3 linked regions of the Ovis aries genome follow. The protein of the gene in region 2 interacts with the protein of the main gene of each other region in a biochemical or structural test. Links are inferred from orthologs where the notes say so. Each region holds a gene or a part of one and is shown on either strand. Other genes may lie near its edges. The genes, in order: RAPGEF5, RAP1A and RAPGEF2.

What was found.
Region 1: of the proteins of RAP1A (region 2) and RAPGEF5, one has a biochemical effect on the other in vitro, tested with the Homo sapiens proteins (2 studies listed by BioGRID). The link is inferred for Ovis aries from reciprocal best matches to the Homo sapiens genes RAP1A and RAPGEF5.
Region 3: the proteins of RAP1A (region 2) and RAPGEF2 form a complex in vitro, tested with the Homo sapiens proteins (2 studies listed by BioGRID and IntAct, with this or other methods). The link is inferred for Ovis aries from reciprocal best matches to the Homo sapiens genes RAP1A and RAPGEF2.

What each region holds. Positions count from the first base shown.
Region 1 is NC_056057.1:31,870,391-31,874,039, forward strand, and holds part of RAPGEF5 (rap guanine nucleotide exchange factor 5), read right to left. Parts: intron 2,855-3,649; coding exon 2,710-2,854; intron 1,218-2,709; coding exon 1,120-1,217; intron 1-1,119. UniProt on the Homo sapiens protein: Guanine nucleotide exchange factor (GEF) for RAP1A, RAP2A and MRAS/M-Ras-GTP. Its association with MRAS inhibits Rap1 activation.
Region 2 is NC_056054.1:89,126,619-89,130,267, forward strand, and holds part of RAP1A (ras-related protein Rap-1A), read left to right. Parts: intron 1-1,875; coding exon 1,876-2,019; intron 2,020-3,649. UniProt on the Homo sapiens protein: Counteracts the mitogenic function of Ras, at least partly because it can interact with Ras GAPs and RAF in a competitive manner. Together with ITGB1BP1, regulates KRIT1 localization to microtubules and membranes.
Region 3 is NC_056070.1:40,130,789-40,134,872, reverse strand, and holds the start of RAPGEF2 (rap guanine nucleotide exchange factor 2), read left to right. Parts: upstream 1-1,183; 5' UTR 1,184-1,241; coding exon 1,242-1,310; intron 1,311-4,084. UniProt on the Homo sapiens protein: Functions as a guanine nucleotide exchange factor (GEF), which activates Rap and Ras family of small GTPases by exchanging bound GDP for free GTP in a cAMP-dependent manner.

The sequences.
Region 1 (3,649 bases), on a different chromosome or scaffold from region 2:
TTCTTTCTTTTTCATTTTTGCTTCATTTGCTTGTTCATATTTTCATATTAGTCTTAGGCGATAGAAATTTTTTACAGTGTAGAATGTGATGATAAAAGACGACCACCAAAATTCATCACATTCATTATTAACAACCTGTAGCTCATTTCTGAACTTCTAAATGTGTGATTTTCATGCCTGGGACAAAGGTTTACACACGATTTGTTTACACCCTAAAATTATTTATATAGCCTTCACTGCACAGGATCTTCCTTTACTAAATACAAGTCAGGCTTGAAGTCTCTGACAGTGTGAAAGGCTTGAATTAACATTTTCTATGAGAAGCACCATTTGTGACTGCTGAAATCTTAATATGTTTATCACAACTTGACAACAGATGTGTTTTATGTTTAAAAAGTAGAAACTACATTGTAAATCAGAGAATAATATTTCCCTTCAGATTACCTTTGCAGGTATATCTGAAAACTGAACAATGACTCAATGTTTTCATTTACCAAAATTATGAAGAAGAGTTAGTGGTAAATCAGAGTAAAATCAGCTATTAGCAATTTGAAAGACTAATGATAGACACCTCAGTGATACCTGGACATGACAAAAGTCAGAGTAAGTACTTCCCTTCAATTTTTCTAAATTGATAAAGAAACCTCAGGGAATCCATAAAATGAACTTTAAACATGTGCCATTTTGCTGGGTTTGTTTTGCTGGGTTTGCTGGTTTGCTGGGACTTGTTTATAAAACGTTTTTTCCTATCCTATTAGAGATAGCTATGAACCCTGAAATGACAAGTTAAATATTTACACTTATAAAAATAAATAATAATTCATTAAATAATTGTTTTTATCCACCCAGACTATCATGGCTCAACTGGTTCCTATCATATTGAACAGGATTTTTTAAAAAATAGCCAATAAGCTTAATTTAGTGTTCACTCATCTTGAGACATAAAAACAAAATACTTATTTACTACTAGGAAACCTAATGAATCGAGATAAATCGAGATAATCGAGATAAATCCCAGATCTGAAATGTTCAAAAGGATCTTTCTGAGACACCTCCAATTCTGTCATATGTGTTGCTGCTTTCTCTTACTATATGTGATGAGGAAAATGAAACACTTACTGACGACGGTGCATTCCAAGTATCTTCTGAAATTCTTTCAGCTCTTTTTCAAGGATTGGGTATTCATAGACATCATCCAGCACATTCCTGTATATGGTCTGGGGTGGGGTGGGGTGGGGGCAGAAAATGGCAGGTGAATTGGTCTGGTGTCTATTTTGTAAGGATTAAGACTCAAACAGTGGGTAACCTGATCAGAGAGATAAGTGGAATCCAGAACAATGCAAGGGGTTAAACCAGGCACCAAAGAGCTCCTGAGTGGGGGTTCTACCCTAGGGCCCCTTGCTCAACTGTGTGGCTCTCTGGGGCCACAAAACTCTTAGGGGCGATGGGTAGGTAGGAGCTACTCAAAATTCCCAGGCCTGTTCTACAATGTATTTTTAGAAATAAAAGCCACACAATCATTTGGGTTGGAGAAGGCAATGGCACCCCACTCCAGTACTCTTGCCTGGAAAATCCCACGGATGGAGGAGCCTGGGGGGCTGCAGTCCATGGGGTCGCTAAGAGTCGGACATGACTGAGCGACTTCACTTTCACTTTTCATTCTCATGCATTGGAGAAGGAAATGGCAACCCACTCCAGTGTTCTTGCCTGGAGAATCCCAGGGACGGGGGAGCCTGGTGGGCTGCAGTCTATGGGGTCGCACAGAGTTGGACATGACTGAAGTGACTTAGCAGCAATCATTTGGGAAGGAAAAAGAAATCTGTTGAATTAAACTAACCAGTTGTTTTGAAAATAACAATAGTTTAGTCAGAGACTTGGTTTAAACCAGTTTTTAACTGGATGTCTAAAGAGATTTTAATTTTGAAATCAAAATGACTTCTTTCATGAAGACAAAGTCAGTTTAGACACTTGCCTCTTCTGAAATAGAACTCTTCCCCGCACGGATTCCACTGCACCCCTTATCTGAATTGACCTGCACAGCTAACATGCTTTTGGTGGCTAAAAGAGTCCAGCTGTCTACAAACTGTCTCCAGAGAATCATCTGTGTTGAAAAGACACGGCAGCCTACTCATGATTAGAAACACGTATCAGCTTACCTAATTTAAAATGTAAATCTAGGTTTAGCATCAATTTTATAAGTTATGATTGTTTTAAATGTCTCAAAATACACCAGGTCATGAAAAAGTTTCATAATGTATACATTGTCAATATATATGTTCTTATATGATAAAAATGATGTTTTATCCCACTATTGTAGATATGGGACTGGTTAGTTTAAACCTATAATACATCTCAACATATTAGGCAGTATCAAATTTTAAAGTATGTTTTATTTAACCTCCCTGAATTATTTCATTTGCAATCAAAATTCTCATGACATGTAAAATAAATAACCTTAAATGAGTGACTTTAAAACTTGCCTTCTACATTTATTCACATAGAATTATTTAAAGTTAAAATTTTCTAACTATGTAAATAATATTTGGCTTCAGAAGTCAAAACAAACAAATACTTTGAATCATAACTTCAATATTACAAACAAGTTAGAGGACTGTAACATACAAATGAGATTACTGAAACGCACAACTGAAAATAAAATCAGTCATTCAGCATCAAAGAGTAACTGAATAACTGGAAGTTTTACATTACCTTTAAAAACATTTTTGAATGTTCATCTTCATGTAACCAGTCTTTGTACAGAGCAATCCACTGGGAAACAAGATGCAAGACCTTCCGTTTCCGACAAGGAACGTCTGAATTTTCTTCTTTGCCTTGATACTTCTTAGCAGAATAGGTGCAAATAGTTAAGAAAGAATACTGCATTGTTGCAAGTAAAAATATGAAGAGATCCATTTATTATTTTCACAAAATATGTTACAGCACGTTTTTGAAAAAAATCTACAAGTATCTGTATACGTAGGAAGAAAAGAACATGTGTAGGGAAAGTAACAGGTGTGCCCTGAAAAAAGCAAAAGGGAACCCAGGAAAGTGATTTACATACACTTGGTGGCAGGCCATGAGGATAAGGACTGGATGGTCAAACTGACAAATGTATCACACAGTTCCACAAGCAGTGCGGGTTAATGTCACTTTGAAGAGATACCAGATGGGCCATTAATCACAAGGGTGGCTTCAAGAGATCTGGCCTCACTACATAGGTGGACACTGTTTCCATCAAGATGACATCAGAAGTAGGCCACGTACACTTTGATCCTCAGAAATTTACATTCTAAAGTAGTGCCAAATGAGCATAGATTTCTGGAGCATAATTTGTGGTGTGATTCAACTGTCCACCCCCAGGAATTTACATGGAAAAAAAAAAGAAATGGATAAGTGTACAAATGTAAGTAAAAAGGGCTGCTAATTTAATTTTCCCTGAGATAAAAAAAATTAAATAGGTGTAACTTAAAGGCTTCAACCACTGAAAACAGTTAAATAAATTACTGCATATCCATTTAAAGGACTCTTTTGTAGCCATAAGGCTGATGGTCCAGCACTCTATTTGCTGACACAGGGCATCCACAATATACTGTTAATTAGGAAAGCAAGTAAGAAAAGAGTATGTGAGGATCATCCATTTCTATTAACT
Region 2 (3,649 bases):
TGTATATATAGCGTATTGCCATGTCTCTGTGGCCAAATATAAAATATCCATTTTCTCTATCAATAGGAACTCGGAGGGTATCTACCTTGTGCCTAAAAGAGGCCTGGTAACCAAAAACAATTTTAAGCTTTCTAAATTTACCCACAGATAATATACTGAGAGGACATCCCAGGTGGCTCAGTGGTAAAGAGTCCACTTGCCAAGCAGGAGACACGGGCTCAGTCCCTGGGTCAGGAAGAGCCCCTGGAGAAGGAAATGGCAAACCACTCCAGTATTCTTGCCTAGAAAATTGCATGGACAGAGGAGCCTGGCAGGCAACAGTCCATGGAGTTGTAAAAGAGTCAGACACGACGTAGCAACTAAACAACAGATATGCCAATGAGATGGTTAGAAATGAAGCCCATGACATGAAGGACATGTATGTAAAGTTCTTCTTTCTCTGCTGCACTTAGGACCCACCATGTGCTACATGGGTCACAAGTGTAGTGAAAAAAGAGTCAAAGAATATTTGGTAGCAGAAGGGGGACTCAGGTTTTGCTTGGAAAGGTGGTAGTTAGTTAGTGTCAAAACCAGTGTTCAAAGAACATTATCAAGAACCATAATGCTATGTTCCCATTTCTAAAATTCTCTCTGTACAGTTTTTACTTAGCTATTTCCTTTGAATTATGTTAAATATTTTACTTAACTGAGTTTTTATAATTTTTTTGTTTTAGATTTTTTTAATGTTAATTTTTTATTGTGGTAAAATATACTGTTTTAGAATTCTTATTTGATGAATAACGTTGTGCCTTTTTGCAAAGATGAAATCTGTGTTTTACATGTTTGTCTCAGTTTTGAGTTACAAAGTTCCTTTTCAAAAGTTGTATAAGTTAGGGTATCAAATTTCATGTGTACCTTCTCTTCTGTTTCTGTGTGTTCTCACTCATTATTAATGGGACACAGGCACCTGCTCAGCACCATAACTGGGTAATGTTGTAGGCAGGAGGGATTTGCACCATATGACTCATGACCAGCCATAACCTAATGAATAGTTCTCTTTCTTCCCATGACTGATTCATCTACGAGAGTTCTTTTTTCGTAGGCAGTTACATGCAAATCACTGAACTCTGATAATGTTAATCTCTTTATCCCATGTAATAAACTGAAGATCGAATCATAGATGAAGACGTAGCTGCTCAGTGGCTTTATGTTTAGTCTTATTCTCCCTTCATGTCTCACCTAAGCTAGTGTTCAGACCTAGAAGTAAAACTTACTGCTGTGTTGGTTGGGCCGTGTTTTTGACGTTTGTTGGTCCTGTGAGTTGAGGCACTTAAGACACACCCAGACCATTGAGTATGTTCTTCTCTGTATTGCAGGCGTTTCCTTTTCCTTCACATTTTTCTACTTGGAATTCAGCCATTAGCATGAGTGCACATGAGAATTTGGGGATTATATTCTTAAAGTGATTTTAGCAGATCAGTGTGGTAGAATCTTGTCCATTTTTTCCTATCTCTCCACTTTCGTCTTTTCCCCAACACACATACATACACCTTTTTTAAAGCACTTGGTGAAGCTTATGGGCTTCCCTGGTGGCTCAGACGATAAGGAATCTGCCCGAAATGTGGAAGACCTGGGTCGGGAAGATCCCCTAGAGAAGGGAATGGCTCCCACTCCAGTATTCTGGCCTGGAAAATTCCATGGACAGAGGAGCCTGGCAGGCTACAGTCATGGAGTCGCAAAGAGTCTGACATGACTGAGTGACTTTCACTTTTCACTTTTCTTTGGTGAAACTAATAATCCTAACACATTTTAGTTGGTGGAGGGTAGTTGCTTGCTTATAAGAAGCTGAGTAACAAGTATGTTAGTTGCTTATTATATATTTTTTCCTTTCCACAGGTTCCAATGATTTTGGTTGGCAATAAATGTGACCTGGAAGACGAGCGAGTAGTTGGCAAAGAACAGGGTCAGAATTTAGCAAGACAGTGGTGTAACTGTGCCTTTTTAGAATCTTCTGCAAAGTCAAAGATCAACGTTAATGAGGTAACCAACAGCTGTGAGGCAGCACAAATAAATGCCTTTTTAGCTTCCCTTCTTTCAAGCTAACAGTCAAAAACAACTTTTTAAAAAGAAAAAGCAGTGCCCTTTTAAGCAGTCTTCATTAGTTTATGGAAAACACTAATTCCTAGAAACTATATTCCTTCTCTGTATAAAGTCACTTTGATGGCTATAATGAGAACACATATACTTACCTTGTTGGCAAAGGGGAAGTTTAAGTTAAAGAAAGTGTCTTTTAAAGTCCTGCTAAGCCTCTCAACGATATACCAGAAAGTGGTATGTGAAAATTGGCACATCACCCTTGTCTTACAACAATTAACTATGCAGATGTGTGTAAATAGGTTGTAAAATTCAGTAGAAAAATACAGAAATCAAGGTAGTTACTATAATGAACTTATGTTGTACAGAAAGACGTCATGTAATTTGAGTTCTGCTTCCCTTTGGTGTATGACTCAAAAGGAAGAATCTGTGTGAGTGGATGGATACAGAGCTATAATTCACCCTGTCTCTTAGGCCTGTTCGAGCAGGTGTACAAGGCTTTTTCTGTCCATGACTTAAGCATTCCGCTATCCTGAGAACACAGCTGGGGACAGGAATGCGTAACAAGTGAGCTTGTCTGCCTGAGTGTAAAGGGCCAATAGTTTACTGGATCCCTAAAAGATGAGTGCAGTTCCCCATTGCCACCACCACATCCAAGCAAAATATTAAGAGATTCCCTTGCTTTTGTTAATTTTAACATCAGACTTTAAAACAAACAAAAAAATGAAATAGACTTCTTTCCTTTCCTAGTAGAGCAAATGTTCTCATTTGCCAGTGTGCTTGCCATTTATTTTTAGGACTTCCCTGGTGGCTCAGATGGTAAAGCATCTGCCTACAAGGCGGCAGACCTGGGTTTGATCCCTGGGTCGGGAAGATCCCCTGGAGAAGGAAATGGCACCCCACTCCAGTACTCTTGCCTGGAAAATCCCACGGGCAGAGGAGCCTGGTAGGCTACAGTCCGTGGGGGTCACAAAGAGTTGGCCATGACTGAGCCACTTTACTTTCACTTTCTTTCTTTTGCCATTTATAGGATCACAGGCAGTCAGTCAGAATTCAGCACACCACACAGGTGAAAGTTAAGACTGGGTTAGGTTGTCAGAGTCTTCTGTGTGTTTTTGCTTGCCATTCCTCTCCAGCCTTTGGTCCTTTCGGTCTCTTTTTCTTGACTGAGATTATGGTTATAGACAATGACCATATTATTTTAAACATGTGGCGTGAACAAAATTTAAGCTTGATACACATCCTCTGTTTTACAAAAATAAAGAATGTCAAAACTTGCCTCTTAGGTAAAACCAGCTAAAATAAATACATAAAAATAAGAAATTCACAGATTTTATTTATTCAGTGAGTATTCATCATGTCCCTGTGTGCCTGGCCCTGTGTTAGGCATCAGTAACACTCTTCTGGACAGACACTGGTCGTCCCCTAAAGAAGTTTACATACCAATGGGGGAAAAGTTCTGCTGTGATCTTCAGCAACACTCACTTCTAATTCACTGCCAAGTAATGAAAGGAAGTGTGAAATGCTTCCTGTTTCAGCTTTCCCTGCTGTAGAATTACTATTTCATAGATGTTAT
Region 3 (4,084 bases), on a different chromosome or scaffold from region 2:
GGTGGGGAGTGGGGAGAGGGGAGTCTGCGCCTTCCGCCCCGGCGCTGAGACTCGTCGCCTCCCCGAGGCCAGGTGGAGCGGGGCCCCCGCCAGCCCCGCCAGGGCGCTGCCAGCCCGGGCCGCCGGGCCACCCGGCTCACCTGGGCCGCCGAAGGTGCCGCTCGCCGGCGAGGGCGCGGCCGGCGGGCCTACAGGCTGGGGGCTCGGGGGCGGGCCCGGGCGCAGGACGCCCGGCCCCCGCCGACGCGGCGCGAGCCCACTGGCCGCAGACCCGTCACTCACTCTTCACCATGGTTGCAGCACAAAGCGACCGGCCCCGGAGGCCGCTTCCTCCCTAAGGAGCCGCGGGGCGGCGCGGAGGCGCAGGAGGAGGAAGAGGCGGGGAAGAGGAGGGGAGTCGCCGCTGCCCAAACACTCTCCGGGGGGCTGCGCGCGACGCCCGCCGCCGGGAGTCCGGACCCGGCTGCCCACGGCCCCTTCCCTCCGCGCCCTCAGACCGGGAACAAAGTTGCCGAGAGTCAGGCGGCCGAGGGCGCAGCCGGGGGCGCTCTGGCCGCTCCGCGCGCGCCAATGGGGGGAGGCGGCGGCGGCGGAGCGCACGGCGGCTGCCGGGGCGGCGGCGGCGGCGGGGCGGCCCGAGGGGATGCAGCGGCAGCCGGGGGGCTCGGCGGAGCTCAGTAGACAGAGCTCCGGCGCGGCGGAGCCGGAGACCGAGGCGATTCAGCTCCGGAGCGCCCGGACCTGAGACAGTCCTCAGACGGCGGCCGCGGAGCCGGAGTGCCTTCCGGAGACCCCGAGAGGAGGGGGCGGCCCTGCGCCCGGAGGAGCGGGAGGCCCGCGCGCCCCGGCCTCCCCCCTCACCGCGGCTCGAACTCCCTAAAAATAACTCAGGCCCGGGAGGGCCGGGAGGAGCCGCCGCCGGCCCCGAGAGGAGCCGGGGAGGCGTGTCGATCCAGGGCCCGGAGGGAGCCTTCCCGACCGCGCGGCGCAGAGGAGGCGGAGGAGGCGGAGGAAGCAGGAGCTCCCGGCTGCCGGGCGCCTCGGGGACCCTCGGGCCTCACGCCCCCCGCCCCGCCGCGCGCCCGGGGCCCCGCCGCCCGGCCGCCGCCGCGGTTTGGCTGGTTGGCCGGAGGCGGGCGGGCGGAGCGCGCAGGGCGGAGGCGGCGGCAGCGGCGGCGGCGCTGGGCCGGGAGGAGGCGGCCGAGGGCGCGGAGCGGCCCCGGCCCGGGCCGCGGGGGGAGATGGCGTCCTACGTGGATAACAGCTTCCGCCAGGCGGTGATGAAGAACCCGGCCGAAAGGACCCCCCAGGTGAGACCCGTGTCGGCGGCGCCCTCCCAGTCCCCACGCCTCCCGACGCCGTTTGCCCCGCGCACCCGCGCCTCCCATTAGGTCCCCAACTTCCAGTGGCTTCATCGGGTCGTCCTGGCGTTATTTTCCCCTCTCTTGGGTCTTCTTGTTTTCGCTGCCCTCTCGGTACTGTCCTGCTCCCGCGATTGTCCGGCGGGGCAGAGAGGTCTTTCCCGAGCGTCCCGGCTTCCCAGCCGCTCGCTGGGCCTGCGAGTCAGCGGGGGTGACCTCCCCTCGGCCGTCCTTCTTGTCCCACCGGTCTCAGTGCTTCCTTCCTCCGCGAGCCTATGGCCCCTTCTGCCTTCAGAGTTCTTGGGTGTTTGCAGAGGTGTTGAGGAAACTTAGAGGGCTCTGCGAAAGACAAATTCGCGGTGGCCTTCTAAAGTGAAACGTTGAGATGTTTGTATATTTACTGTTTTGCTTTTTTTGGGGGGGAAAGGATGTCGCTTTCCAAGGAAGGGAGGAAGAAAGTTGGATAGCTAGGTTACTCAGACAGAATTGCAGATCAGGCATGTTCAAATACTAATCCCCACCTCCTCCCCCGCCCCCGGGAAGGGCACCCTGCGGATTCTTCTGGTGTTGCACAACCTTGTCAAAATTAGGTAAGTTTGTTAACCTTTATACGTTTCGTTTACCTTCAGGCTTATTTTTCTCTGGCTTTAAGTGGAGGAATTGCTGATGGTGTTGGATCTGGTCGTCTCTAGTTGGACTAGAAAGGGGGAGATGTATAAAAGTGTGGTGGTTTGATTTTTTTTTGCTTGTAGTTGCTGACTGGATAATGACGCATGCGTTGGGATGGTGACTCCAGGGGATCCTGCTGCCAACCTTCTTAAGACAAATAAGCCCTCCTGATCCTTGGGACCATCAGACATTTAGGATCTAGTGCTTGAAAGAGTGGCTTCGCTTGTTAGGTGTTGGATGCCATCTGTTCACATCCAAATGCTCTCCTTCTCTGCCGTTGACGGTTGTTATTTAATGCGGGGAAAAGAGGATAAAATAGACTCTTCCACCGGCTGCCTTTTGGGCAAGGCCCAGGAATGGCACCTGGTATCGTTTTTCATTTTTTTTTTTTTTCTGATGTAGCCGTCACATCTGGGGAGTGTAGCTAGAGTGCGCATATTTACCAAACGTGTGGAAGATGGGTGATAAATTTTACAAGGAAAATTCAGTTCACACTGTCACCGGAAAGTTCCCGTTCTAAAGGATTACTTTACCAAAAACAAGGACTGTGCTGCTCAGGTCCTGTTGCACTGCCTCTCCTGTGCCTTTTCCACCTACTGTTTGTTTTGCGGTTGGCAATCACTCAGTCCTCTGCATCTGAAACTGTAGGTTCTCAGCCACAGTGTGATGGAAAAGCTAATTTCAGTGAAGTGTTTCAATGCCTTTCAGTGTTTGAGGTGCCAAGTGAAATCACACATGCTGAGAATATTAGAACTCAGTAAGGTGGTCAGAAAATGATGTCAGAGGCCTTGGGTGGAAATTAGAGAGGGGGAAGTGGTGTGTTCGGTTGGTTGATTAGAATAGCAATGACTCAATACCTACTATCAGGTGGTGGTGGTGGGGGTAGTCGGTCACCAAACAAGCCTGAAAGAGGCAGAATGTCCACTGTGACAGTGCGTGGATTGTGCCAAAGAAATGAACTGTTAAACTTTCCTGTTTCTGTGCCAGCTCTGGAGAACAGAGTGAAAACAGACCAACGTAGAACTTGGCCTGAGTCAGAAGTGGGCCAGTTGGTACTGACACCAACAGTGTGGAAGCTTCACTGACAGCCTGAAAGCAGCATATCTATCTCCCTCCCCCGAGCCCCTCCACACACACCTTCACAGAACAAGTCACCTTCAAGAAACTTAGCAAACATTTTGAACTTTCATAAGTGTCCGCCCTATTAATTTTAAAGCTCAATGCAAACCTCCATGTTTATCATTTTAAAGAGAAAGTAGTTGGTAAGGTGAATGCTTCCCATCTTTACCTGGCTTGTTAAAAAGAATTACTCTTCTTCTAAAAGTTTGAAATTTACTCAGAAGTAAAAAAAAGAAAAACAACTTTGGTATCAGGTGCCTTTTCTGTTGAGTGCTTTGTGAATGCAAGGACTGGAAGTTTTCCTGCACTCTCTTTTTTCATGACTACTTGAGAGTTAGAATTTTGTAATATAAAAGCCAAGTTATTAAACCTATGAACAGACACACGTGAATCAGGAAAGTTTTGATGTTCTTCCTTCTGTTTTTCAGATAGATTTATGAGGAGTTTGTATGATTCTTATGACAAGCAAAAGAAAGGCGCTTTAAGAAAAAAGATAGAGGAAAAAAACATATATATATATATATATATATATATATATATATAGTTAAATTCATTTCCTTTTATTTTTTAATCCCACCAACGCAGTCTCCTAAACCCCGAGAAGACATACTTTTGTATCAGGTCAGTCAGTTGCCTAGACGTAATCATGCTGTCACTTGTATAACCTAAAAAGTTAGCTAAGAAGTTAAAGAGGTTTTGGGGGCAGGGAGAACCTCAGTGCAGACACAGGGACTTTGAAAATTATAATGAAATTAGGAAGCTTTTCATAGCCACCTGGGAAATGGAATCCATTTTTCCCATTTATTTAGGCACTTCAATAGAGGGGGGATGGTAAGGAGAAGCAAGCAAAATTGTCACCCGAATTTTTAGCCAGATGTTGTGCATTCAGATTTAAGGGGCTGTCACTGTTTCGCCTGATATTCTGGGAGGAGGAA